Linked DNA regions of Caenorhabditis elegans. The protein of the gene in region 1 interacts with the protein of each later gene in a pairwise test. Each region holds a gene or a part of one and is shown on either strand. Other genes may lie near its edges.

Evidence for each region.
Region 2: the proteins of fbxo-11.2 (region 1) and arrd-8 interact in a two-hybrid assay, tested with the Caenorhabditis elegans proteins (one large-scale study listed by BioGRID).

What each region holds. Positions count from the first base shown.
Region 1 is NC_003281.10:1,047,158-1,055,244, reverse strand, and holds the start of fbxo-11.2 (UBR-type domain-containing protein), read left to right. Parts: upstream 1-2,002; coding exon 2,003-2,129; intron 2,130-2,462; coding exon 2,463-2,592; intron 2,593-2,656; exon of another isoform or gene 2,657-2,861; intron 2,862-2,878; coding exon 2,879-3,401; intron 3,402-3,762; coding exon 3,763-3,953; intron 3,954-4,876; coding exon 4,877-5,273; intron 5,274-6,242; coding exon 6,243-6,726; intron 6,727-7,343; exon of another isoform or gene 7,344-7,415; intron 7,416-7,595; coding exon 7,596-7,743; intron 7,744-8,087.
Region 2 is NC_003280.10:12,063,357-12,068,237, forward strand, and holds arrd-8 (Arrestin C-terminal-like domain-containing protein), read left to right. Parts: upstream 1-1,728; coding exon 1,729-1,910; intron 1,911-2,617; coding exon 2,618-2,723; intron 2,724-2,768; coding exon 2,769-2,934; intron 2,935-3,503; coding exon 3,504-3,610; intron 3,611-3,678; coding exon 3,679-4,212; 3' UTR 4,213-4,282; downstream 4,283-4,881. Other genes in the region: Y17G7B.22 (C2H2-type domain-containing protein), read left to right, coding at 4,747-4,812.

The DNA.
Region 1 (8,087 bases):
CTTCTAACTTTTTCAGTTTGTAAAATATTTTGCCAAATTTTAGCTCAAAATAATTTTGAAATTCATATTTTTCAAAAATTGTACATTTACTTTAAAAAAAACTGTAAAATGCCTGTTTTCCAAGAGATTTCCTGTAAGCCCTTAAAATTTTTTTTTGGAATTTTGGAAAATTTTTTGTTTTTTTTCAAATCCTTCTAACTTTTTCAGTTTTTGTGGCACTTTGCCAAATTTTAGCACAAAATAAGCTCCAAAGCTTGGAGTAGTAGTTTAGTTTAAAAATCCTTAAAAGTTTGAAAAATATCAGTCTACCAAGAGTTTCCGTGGGGGGTCCTCGAAATTTTTTTTAGTTAAATTTATTTTTTTCGGAAAATTTCAAAACCCCCTAACTTTTTTAGTTTTAAAGATTTATATACCAAATTTTAATTTAAAACAAGCTAAAAATTTATATTTTTCAAAAAATTGTACGTTATCTAAGAAAGCTGCAAAATTTGTGGCTGTCATAAGTTTTCGTGGAAGGATTTTGAATTTTTTTTTGGCAAATTTTAAAAAAGTTCAAAACTTCATAACTTTTTCAGTTTTTGAGATATTCTGTTAATTTTTAGCTTATAAATAGTTCAGTTACTTAGACTAACAGGTTAATTTAAAAAATCTTTTAAAATTTCGCAAAATATCATTCCACCGAGAGTTTCCGTGGGGGTCCTCAAAATTTTTTTTTTGAAAATTTCAAACCATCCTAACTTTTTCAATTTTTCCGTAATTCTTGTCAATTTTAGCTCAAAATGATCCTTAAAACTTTCTCTCCCCATCCAAACAGGTGTGAATCAACATATTGCGCAATGCTGAGACGCAGGGTGGGCCGGAGGGGACGGTACTAGGCTAGTACGCGCGGCTGGCCGGGCGGCGGCCTCGTTACGGAAAAGTGGAAGAGTGAGGAGAGATATAGAAGAAGTGTGACCTATTTCCCGCATACAATATCTCCCCGTACCGTCATCTTTTCCTCCTCTCTCTCTGTCTCTCTTTGTCCCTCTCTCCGATTTCCAAGGATTTTTGCATAAATCCGTCACGTGGCACGAGTTTTCTGGGTCCTGCCACGCAAACTCGTGGCGTGCTGTCATTTATGAATTTTGCTAAAGTTGTTTATTTGAACCTGAAAATTGAATTTCCGGGGCTTATTTTAATCTAAAAATGAAGCAAATAGCTCCAAAATTGAGAAAGTTGTGAGGTTTTGAAAATTCCAAAATTTTCAATTTTTTTTTTGAAATTTTAAGTTAAGGTGCCATCACGAAAACTTCTGATTAAAAAGTTTTAATTAATTTTCCATGAAAATTCATATTTTTGCGGTCATTTTGCATTAAAAATCGTAGAAATATCTTAATTTATTAAAAAGTTAGAAAACTTTGAATATCTGAAATTTTTGCCAAAAAATATTTTTACAATTTTTAGGTCCCACCACGAAAACTCTCAGCAATTCAAGATTTTCAGAGTAAGACATTTTACAATAATTGTAACTTAAAATTCAAGTTTCTACTGTTATTTAACATTAAAAATTATAGAAATATCTCAAAAATGGAAAAAGTTATGAAATTTTTAAAATTTCAGTTTTTTCAGCAACTAAATTTTCAAGGTCCCGCCACGAAAACGCTTGGCAAACTGAAATTTCTCTGTTACGGTCATTTTGAGTTATTTTGTAGGAAAATTCAGAATTTCACAATCATTTTTCCCAAAAAATGATAAAAATATCTCAAAAATTGAAAAAGTTGTGAAATTTTTGAATTTTTGAACTTTTTCCTAAAAACGTTTTTTTGACAACTCCCAATTTCTCGGAAATTTCCAAATTTTCTCAACTTTACCCCAAAATTTTATGTGTGACCTCTACTAATACCATAACAATAACAACAATAGCCTCCAGACCCCCCCCCCCCCCTCAGCCGACCTTCACAGGTGTCTTACACCGTCTGCGTCTCTGCCCCCTCTCCCCACCGCCTAGCCTACATGCTTGCAGATGTCCGGCGAGGAGGAAGAAGAATGGCGTGTACTTTACCAGGAGACCTTCGGCTATCGCCTGCCGCTTTTTCACCCCGAACATGCCGTTTTTCAGTTTCAACCCGCGCCGAAGCAAAAGTTTACAGGTGAGAACTGGAAAAAGCTACGTAACCCGCGCTACAGTAACCCAGTCACCTTGAAATTATTGCCATTCGATTTCTCTCGCTGAGAGCTTTCAAATGACACCCATCATGCCTATGCTCCAACGATTTTGAGTTTCGACACAGCTGAAACTGATGCTACAGTACCCCGCGTGGCGAGACCCAAATTTCCAAAACTGCTCGGAACCCGGGCATGATGGGGGTCATTTGAAAGCTAACAACAAGACTAACAAAATGCTGATATTTAAAAATTAATAGGGCTACTGTAGACCGGGGGGTTAATGTAGGTTTTCTGCAAAAAAAAACAGTTAATTTCAGACGAAGAGTTCAATCCGTGGAAGGAGGCCTACGAGCAGTTGAGCCGCGGCGTTCATGTCATGAAAAATTTGGAGCAATTTGTGGGAGCCGCCGATATTCAATGTTTCGATCATATTGAGGAGGCCTTGAGGTGTGAACTTGGACTTAGGCTTGGGCTTAGGCCGATGCTTAAGCTTAGAGTTCGGCTTAGGCTTAGGCTTAAGCTTAAGCTCAGGCTTAGGCTGATTCTTAGGCCTAGGCGTAAACTCAGGCGTGGGTTTAAGCTTAGGCTTAGGCTTATGCTGATCCTTCGGCTTAGGCTTATGCTCAGGCTTAGGCTTAGGCTTTGGCTTTGGCTTAGGCTTAGGCTTAGGCTTAGGCTTAGGCTTAGGCTTAAGCGTTGGCTTAGGTTCAGGCTTAATCCCAAAAATTTCCAGATTCCTCGACGAAAACGACGAGGGTGGTCACCACGAAAAGCTGATCTTCCTGCACGAAGGCACCCATGAAGTCACGCACACCATCCGAATCACCTCCGACGTTCAGATCCTCGGCGCCTCGGGCTCCGAAGACATTGCCACGTCCGTGGTACTCACCGGACGCCACGCGACTGTACTGGAATTCCAGAGCAGCGCCTACATGGGCTATGTGACTGTGAAGTATGAGGTGGACACGGAGCACGAGGCTCACGTGGCTCAGGATATGGAGGTGGATGCTCCCAGAGCTGGTGAAGAGGTGCCTGTGGGGGAGCCCGGCGGAGCTCCTGGAGCTCCTGGAGAGCCTGGAGAGCCCGAGGAAGCCCTGGAACCTGAAAAGTTGCTGGAAGCCCACACGGATCCCACTACGAATTGCGCCATGATAGTTACCGGGCTGCACGTGGAGCCCATCATTGAGCACTGCAATTTTCAGTCTGGTAATGCTGACAGTCATACTGTAGTTGTCAAGGATCACGCTGCACCGAAGGTAAGTTTTTCACAAAATTTTTATAACTTAAAATTGAAAAAAATTGAAAAAAAATGTTTTTTCAAAAATTTCCAAAAAGTTACCAGGCTGGTTTTTAACCTAAATTTCAACAAGATAAATAAAAAATTCACCCTAAAAATTACCACCACACTTCTAAAATTTCAAATAAATATCGAAAATTTCAGTTGAAAATCGAAAATTTCCCATGAAAACTCATGTTTCTCAAAAGCTAAGCTCCCAAAATTATTGAAACTTTACCCAAAAAATTTCCAGGTATTTTTTGATAGTATGATCATTTAGAAAGTGTAGTCCGTGGCTTTTCAGCTATTTCCAGCGGAGCTCCAAATTCCCAAATTTTCAGATGAGAAACTGCACTTGCATCGGAGGCTCGGGCGGCGGGATCATTATCACACACCACGCTGGCGGCTACTATGATAACTGCGAGTTTGCGCAAAATTTGCAGTCCGGAATACGTGTGCAATTCCAGGCGAATCCATATTTCTATAACTGTCATGTCCATCATCAGGGTGATGTGGGAATCTTCATTTTGGAGTGAGTCTTTGAAAAGTTGAAATATCTTGAAAACTAAAAGAGCTAGCAGAAAGTTTTCAACTGAGAAGTTGTAGAGCTTGAAATTTTACATATTTTGTTAGTTGAAAACTTTTTTCTTAATCTCATCTCCGCTGAGTTATGCGCCTTTAAAATTAAGGCGTCGCAGAAGTGCAGAGAACGAGGGGGGAGGGAGAGGGTGCGAGACGACGAGAGTACTCTCGTCGTCTGCGTCTTTTCCTCATCCTTAAAATTGCTGTTTCTCTGCGGGGAATGAAAACTAAAAAATTTTTTAATGGAAAAATGTTCCAAATTTGATTATCTTCAAATTGGCTGTATTTTGAATCTTTTCCAAAAAAATATTTTTTTTTCGAAATTTTTTTTAAATTTCAAACTTTCATAACTTTGCCAGTTTTAAAGAGTTTTGAGCCATTTTTGTTTTAAAATGTGCAGAAATTTTGTATAAAAGTTGTGTTAGTGTCAGAAATTTGCTTCACATATATGTTTTTGCGCGAAAAATGAAAAAAAAAATTAAAATCTCAAAAAAAAAAAAAAAACATTTTCGAAAAATTTTCAAATTTCAAATATCCATAACGTTCTCAGTTTTAAAGATTTTGAACCCATTTTGATCCAAAATATGTGAAAATAATTGATCAAAAATGCAACAGAAAATAGCAGAAATGATTAAATACGCCAAACCCCAGAGTTTTCGTGACGGGAGCCGAAGTAAATTTTTTTTGAAAACTCGAAAAGTTCAAACCTCTGTAACTTTGTCAATTCTCAAGATTTTCCACTGATCTTTGGCTCAAAATGTGCGTCAAAACGTCCAAATTTCAAAAATATTAGTAAAAAAAATACTTCAAAACTCTTTTTGTGTCAGGACCCAAAATTTTTCAAAAAAAAAAAATAAATAAAAATTATTTCAGCGATGGCCTGGGCCATTTCCAAAACTGTCAAATCTACGCAAACCAAAAATTTGCGATAGAGCTCAAAAGTGCTCAGGCCAACCCCACAGTAACCGAATGCGAGATTCATCACGGGATGTCAGGCGGCATATGCATCCACGAGGACGCCACCGGCCAATTTCTGAAAAACCGGCTCCATCACAACGAATTCCTCGCGATTTGGATATCAGAAGGTGCGAATCCGATTGTTCGGAAAAATGAGATTTTCGACGGGAAACACGGCGGAATTTTTGTGCATCGGTATGGAAAAGGGCTCATCGAGGAGAATAAGGTGTATGGGAACGAGTTGGCCGGCATTTTTGTCGATACTGGAGCCGAGCCATGGATTAGGAATAATCATGTTCATTCTGGGAAACAGGTGAGTCATTTTTAGATTTTTTTTTTCGAAAAAAAAAATTCAAAAAAATTTTTTTTCCAAAATTTTCAACAAAAAAATTTCAACCACGTTGGGGAATCGAACCAAACTGAACTGTTCCAAACAACTCCCCACGCAAAATAAAAAAATTTTCACCGCTGTGGGGGTCGAACCCCGGTCTTGTTATTACCAGCCCAACTCACTATCCACTAGGCCACGGGAGCAAATTTTGAATTTCGCTGTTTCCGGGCTAGATTTATAGGTTTTGAGGTGAATTTTTAAGTTAAAATTTGCAAAATTTACTCTAAATTTGAAATTTTGGCAATTTGAAGAAAAAATTATCTTAAAAATTAAAAACTTCGATTTTTTTGTTAAAACGGATTTTTCAAACCTAAAACCGTCCCCAAATTCAAGTTTAAACAAAACAAAAAAAGTTCGCGGTACCGGGGGTCGAACCACGGTGTTTTGATTACTAGCCCGACTCACTACCACTAGGCCATGGGTGCAAATTTTTAAATTCGCTGAAAAATAATTTCTGGGGTAGAAATTGAGGTTTTAGGGTGAATTTCTTAGTTAAAATTTGCAAAATTTACTCCAAATTTGAAATTTTTAGCAAATTAAAGAAAAATTGATCTTAAAAATTAAAAGCTTCGATTTTTTGTGAAAATTGTCGTTTCAACGTTAAAACTACTATTAAATTAAAAATTCAGCTAAACAAAAAATTTTGCCTTGTCGGGGGTCGAACCCCTGTCTTGTGATTCCAAGCCATCTCCACTATCCACTAGGCTACGGGTGCATATTTTGAATTTTGTTGAAAAATGGTTTCCGGGGTAGAAATTGAGGTTTCAAGGTGAATTTTTTAGTTAAAATTTGCAAAAATTACATAGAACCTTTCAAAAATCGAACAATCGCTGAAAATTTTTTCAAAAAACCAAAAAAAAAAAAAAAGATTTTTAACTTTAACTATTCCAGGCCGGTGTCTACTTCTACGATGGAGGCTCCGGTGTCCTAGAATCCAACGAAATCAACGGAAATACCCTAACAGGCGTCCAAATCCGCACTGGCGCCAACCCACGTGTCATAAAAAACCGAATCTGGAATAATGACAACGGAGTACTGGTACATGAAGCCGGCATGGGATGTTTTGAGGAAAATACAATTTTCGACAACTCAATGACCAATGTTTTCATAAAAACTATGGCCACACCGGTTATCCGGAGGAATAAGATTTTCGGATCTCGTGGCACCGGAATTTCTGTTACCGACGGAGGAAAAGGGCTCATTGAGCACAATGAAATATTTGATAATGCTCAAGCGGGCGTCCTGGTGCTCTCTGACTCGGCGCCGAGTCTCCGTGGAAATCGAATTCATGGGAATCGATCTGCGGGCATTGAGGTCTCGTCTAAAGAGGAGCTGGTGTTGGCGGAGAATCGAGTGTTTCGGAATAGATTTGGAGGTAAGAAGAAAAAAAAAATTAAAAGTTGAAAAACTGAAAAAAAAAATTTTGAAAAAAATATTGGTAAAAATATTTCGACCACAGTGGGGATCGAACCCCGGTGTGTTGATTGGAAGAAATTTTTGAAAATAAATAATTTTTCAAATTATTGGCATAAATTCCAAAAATTTAAAATATTGATTTTAGTGTGAAAACTTAGTTTTTTTTTTTAATGAAATTTTGAAAAAAAAACCGTTTTCCTATAATTTTTGCCTATAATTTGTGTAGCTTCATTTTTAGCATTTGATGTTAAAAGAACACACATAACTAACAAAAAAACTAAATAAAAACTTTCTGGCCCAGCGGGGGTCGAACCCCGGTCGCGTGATTACCAACCGTCCCCACTATCCACTAGGCCACGGGTGTTAATTCTAAAAATTGTTGAAAAATGGTTTCCTGTGTGGAAAATACGATTTTAAAGTGAATTTTTTATTAAAATTTTGCAAAAATCACTCTAAACCGTCAAAAAATTCCTTAAAAATTTTTTTGTTCACAAAATCCTATAGAAAATGACTCAAAATCAGCTTTAACTTGAATAAGTAGTGCGAAAAATAACATTTGGCTCTAACAAAAATATTCGACCAAGCGGGGGGTCGAACCCTGGTCGTCTGATTGGCAGCCATCCATGTTACCCACTGCGCCACAGGTGCAAAATTTCAAAATTGAAAAAAAAATGGTTTCAGGAGTGAAAAATGATGTTTTAGGCTAAATTTTTAATTAAAAAACTCGAAAAATCGCCGAAAACCTTGTTTTTTCTCAAAAAATGCCAACTTCTCTAGTTTTTCACCCTGTTTTCAACCCTAAAAATGCGACATTTAAAAATTTTTTAGGAATCATGACGGCTAGCTGCTCTCAAGCATCCGAAGACCAAAATCAGGTGTACGACAACTTGGACCACGTGGAAAAGGCCATCAAAAAGGGCCAATGCCTATTTTCGGTCAGCGGCAAGGACTTTTACCCGATGCACAATTTTTATAGGTGAGTTTGGGTGGAAATAAGGGAAACTGGAGAGCAACTGAGCTATAAGCGTAAATTTTCTGAAAAATTGCAACAAAAAAAAACTTTTTCGAAATTAAAAAAAAAATTTTTTAATTAAAAACTTCGATTTTTTTGTGAAAACGAGTGTTCCAAACCGAAAACTGTTTTCAATTTCAAGTTTCAACAAAACAAAAAATTTAGCCGTGCCGGGGGTTGAACCCCGGTCTTGTGATTCCACGCCATCTCCACTATCCACTAGGCTAAGGGTGCATATTCTGAATTTTTGTGAAAAATGGTTTCCGGGGTAGAAAATGGTTTAAGGGTGAATTTTTAGGTTAAAATTT
Region 2 (4,881 bases), on another chromosome or scaffold:
GATAGTATTTGTTTTGAGAGACCTAGGAGGGGGGAAGAACAAATATTGTATGTTGGGATGGTATTTAATGTGTTAGAGACCAAAATCATAAAAACAAGTAGTAAAATGGGATGGAATAGATCAAAATGTAGGAATTTAATTTTTCAATTTATTTTAAGAAATTTATCAACGGATTCGGGGAATTTTGTTCTAAAATTTAAAAAATTGACCGTTAAATTGTTAAAATTTATTATTATTAATATGATTTATTATTATAATTAAGATTGTTAAAATAATTATAGAATTTTTCTAAACTTTTGCAAAGTTTGTCAAAAAATTACACATAGTTGATTCTCTTTTGATTTTTCGTTTTTTTTTTCTCTAAAATTATTTTTTTTTAATTGGAAAAAAACGACAAAAAATCCAATACGTAACATGGCAATCGGCGAAAAATTTTCAATTTTCCTGTAAAAATATTTAGAATGCAATACATTTTCTTCTTTGAAAAATGAAAAAAAAATCATAAAAAATCCAGAACTAAATAAAAATTTAAAACTCATATTTTGAAGAATATCTTGAAGTTAGAGTTGAAATTGAGTAACAAAAATAACTAAAAATTTGAAAAAAAATTTGAGGAAGGAGGCTTTTAATTTTTTCCTAAAATTCCTATTTGAATTTCTCCTAAATCTCCAGCTAGAAGTTATATGCCGTACTTTTTTGCTCTAAAATATAAAATAAATGAAAACGGTTTTGTAGGAACTGTTTCAAATAATTAGAGGAATTTATTAAGCTTACAAAAAAACATTTTGGCCAACTATGAACTATGTTTTGTCGCGTTTAAACGCGACAAATCATTTTTCTCAAAGAGAAAAAAATTTGCTATATTTCAAGTCAGGAAACTTTTTTTCTACTCACAATTAAACATAGCGAACCTAATATAATTTCCAAACTTTTTTTTATGGTGGTGGAATTGAAAAAAAACATTTTTCGGGTTTTTTGAAATGAATTTCGTAGCTACAAAGACGGTCATACATTCATTTGAAAGTACGGAAAATTTGCTATTTTTATAGTCAGGACACTTTTTTTTTGCACGAACATAACCAAAGCAATTTAAACAAAAAAACTATTGACTGTAAATTTTTTGGTTAGTTTTTTAAAATATATTTTGCCTTCTGAATTTGGAGCGAATTCAAAATAAAAATGGAATATCAAAATTTTAGCCAAAATTAGATTTTTCAGGGTATCTTAAATCAAAACCCCGTTAACAATACACTATCTTTAATAACTTTAATAATATATAATCGATAAATTCCAATTCATAGCGAATTTTTAAAAAAAGCACACCGATTTATATTTAATAACCATGTTAACATTAAAAACTTGTGAAGAACCACGTCATCGCATAAAGTATAAATACACAAATAACCCATAAATAGTATATTGTTCTGATTCATGCTCAAAGTTTGCACTGAAAAGAAAAAAAAGACCAATGAAGTACGTTGTCTATGACGTTTTTGCACGTTTTCAGACTTTATCAATTTTCCGGCAAGAAAACATGACGTAAACATGGTGCATGTTTTATAAATAAAAGTTATTAGTTGATAAGAGAATGGAATGAACTGAGTTGTTTCTTTTTTAAGATTTTTTTTCTAGTTTTTATTCGGAACTTATTTATATCAACTAATTGTAAAGAAAAATATTGGATGTAAAGCTGTAATATAGTATAATTTCATGTCAGACTTACAAAAAATGGGAGACACCACATTTCTCATTGAATTCGACCATCCTGCCGCTGTATACTCCCCTGGACAGAATGTAGCAGGGAAGCTAACAATCAGAAATCGAAATGCTTTAAATGCACTGGCTCTGAAAATTTGCATCCATGGAGATATTGAAACGTTGTGGAGGAAATTTGAGAATAAAGGGAGATAGTGAGTTTTGGGGACTATTTAAAATTTCAAAAAATAGTCAAGAAAAACGAGTTTCAGTAAAAAAATTTCTCAGAAAATTCAAGTTTTCGGCCAGAGTTGTTTTTCCAGAAAAATCTGAATTTCTCAATTTGGGGTTAGGCATTTGAAGTGAGCCAATATGTAAGGTTCTGAAATGAAAGTGACGTAGAGGAAGATTACTTACTAATTTATAAGTTCTGATGACATGAAAATACAACTAAAATCGCCAATAGAAGCTTCGTTAAAAAATATATGAAATTATTATTGCCGCTCGTTTTATGGTACATACAAAATTTAAATACTTCCGCCAGATATTCATCTCTCTCCTTTCCAAAACAGTAATCAGATTATCCACTATTTAAAGGTACATTCAAAATTTGCCGAGCTTGGCTAATTGGGCAAATTGGGCAATCTTGCCGTGCTGGGCAAACTCCGAAAAATGAGAACATTTTGATATTTCTAGAAGCGCCAAAACTACTGAATTTTTAGCACAACTTTGAACTCAACTTCATGTTATTTTACTATAATTTTTTGAACAAAATCAACAGTTTTGGCCAAATTTGAAAAAAAAGCCTATTTGTGATGTGTGCGGCAAATTTCAAAATTTGCCGAGCGCGGCGAATTCGGCTGAACCAGTTTTTTGAAATTTGCCGCGCTCCCCTGATTTTAACCACCATATTTCTTTTCAGTGACCGACATGGTCGATGGTATCGTAGCTCTGAACATATCAACTATACTAGCAAGATAAACGTCTTGGAAGGAATCGCCCAGCCATGGAGTTCCATTGAAAACGCGGTTAGTAAATTTGAATACACTTTAATATTTACACACCACATTTAGAACAATAAAATCCCTGGCGGTGTGAACATATTTCCGTTTCTCTTCCAACTTCCTGCAAATCTACCACCGAGTTTTGAAGGGACGCATGGAAATGTTCGATATTCGGTACACGTGGAATTAGATAGGCCATGGAGGATGAATGTTGAAGCGAAGAGGGTGTTTTCTGGTGAGTTGGAAACGATTTTGATACGACCTGAAAAAGAAAAGAAATCATGATTTAATGTGAATATTTTTTGTGTCAAAATATAATATCTCGCAAATCCGCAAATTGTCTTTTTTTGCCGGAAATTTTAAATTTCGGCCAATTGCCGATCTGCCGTTTGCCGGATAACAATTTGCCGGAGAAGACGGAAACTTGAAACTGTGCCTTTTTGAAATTTTCCCCCGTTTTTTAACGATATTCTCATAGAATTCACTGACTTTTAAAAATAGATGTAAGGCTATTCATCGGATGTGTACAATTTTTTCGTTTAAAACTGAAATTCTGAAAGTTCCAGAAAAACTCACAACTATCGGCAAATACAGATTTTCCGGCAAATTGGGCAAATTGTCAATTTGCTATATTTGCCGGAAATTTTCAATTTCGGTAATTGCCAATTCGCTAATTTTGCCGGAAAAATCGTTTGCCGCTGAGCCCTGATTTTAACCCCGTCTGGGCTAAACTGAAGCTTGAAATCATTAGCAATTTATCTATAAAAGCAAATCACATTTAAAATTTAATTTCGAATATTTCAGTGATTCCGGTTATCGATTTAAACTCCATTCCAAAAACAATCAATCCAATGATCGTATCTTCTTGCAAGCATTCTGGATTATTTTCTAACAAAGAGGTTAAAGTTAAGGTAACATAATTTTTTTTATTTCATGCTAATAACAAATAATGACTCAATTAACAAATTAATATTTACAGATCTCCATCCCAAAATCCGGATACATCCCAGGAGAGACCATCCAAGTATCTGCTCTAATTCAAAATCACACGAAGAAGCCTATATATTCTATAAAAGCAAAATTGGAGCAGCACGTGCATTATCAGGCTCAACAAGAGAATTCTCATCTATTTCCAGAAGAACATTGTCATAAACATTGTGAGCATAAAACTGCTCAAACCACAATGTCGAAAGTTGAGAAGAGTTGTCACGTGGAATTTTGCTCAAATAGCCAAATAAATGTGCCACTTGTTCTGCCGAATCAGTTGGTTCCTAGTTTTCGAACAGGAATTATTGAAGTAGACTATTGTATTATTGTGGATATCGGAGAGAATAAGAAATTGAGATGTGAACTTCCGATTACTGTTGGAACAATTCCCATTGGAGTATTCACAAGACCAATTGCCTATTCTATTACGGAAGCTCCTCCTAAATATGAAAACTTCAGTCAAATTGTAGAAGATTCTCAGGCAAGTGCTCCACCGCCGGAATATGAAAATGAAGAACATTTTTAACATTTTTTCGTGTGTGTATATCGAATTCTCATTTTCAGTAAATTAAATTTTTAATTTGCCGGTTTAATTACATCAGTGTAGTGCCGGCGGATTTGCTTCATGACTGCTAAGTGAGCAGATGTGCATGTGCATTCTTTTGTTCTCTATGTCTCTGCGTACATCCGCTTCTCGCACAACGTCTCCCGTAGTTCATCGATTGCTTTAAGTATTTCATAGTAATGTATTTTCCGTTTTGAAACGTTTAATGCAATGAATGAATTTGAATTTGAGTGCTCAGTATTTCCAATTTTAGAATAAAAAAAAAGCATTTTATTTGTCCTAAGTGATAACTTGTATAAAACAATTTTGTTTCGAATACTTTCAGACAAATCCAAATTTTAATGCAACTGTATTATAAATTTTTTTGAAAAGCATTAGCTGCACGCTTCTTATTAAGACTAATTTGAAACAACTTTTCAGATGTCCTTTTTGAGAAATTTAACTTTAAAAAATCTGTTGCCTTCTGTTGGGGATTGAATTAATTTCTTTAGAATGATGTCATCAAAGTTGACTAAAGACGAAATTGAGAAGAAAATTGCTGAGCTTCAAGAATTACTTCGGGTAAGTTTTTTGAGGTTAAATATTACAAAAGACGAGAAAAATTATCTGGCGTGTGTAACGTTTTAGAAA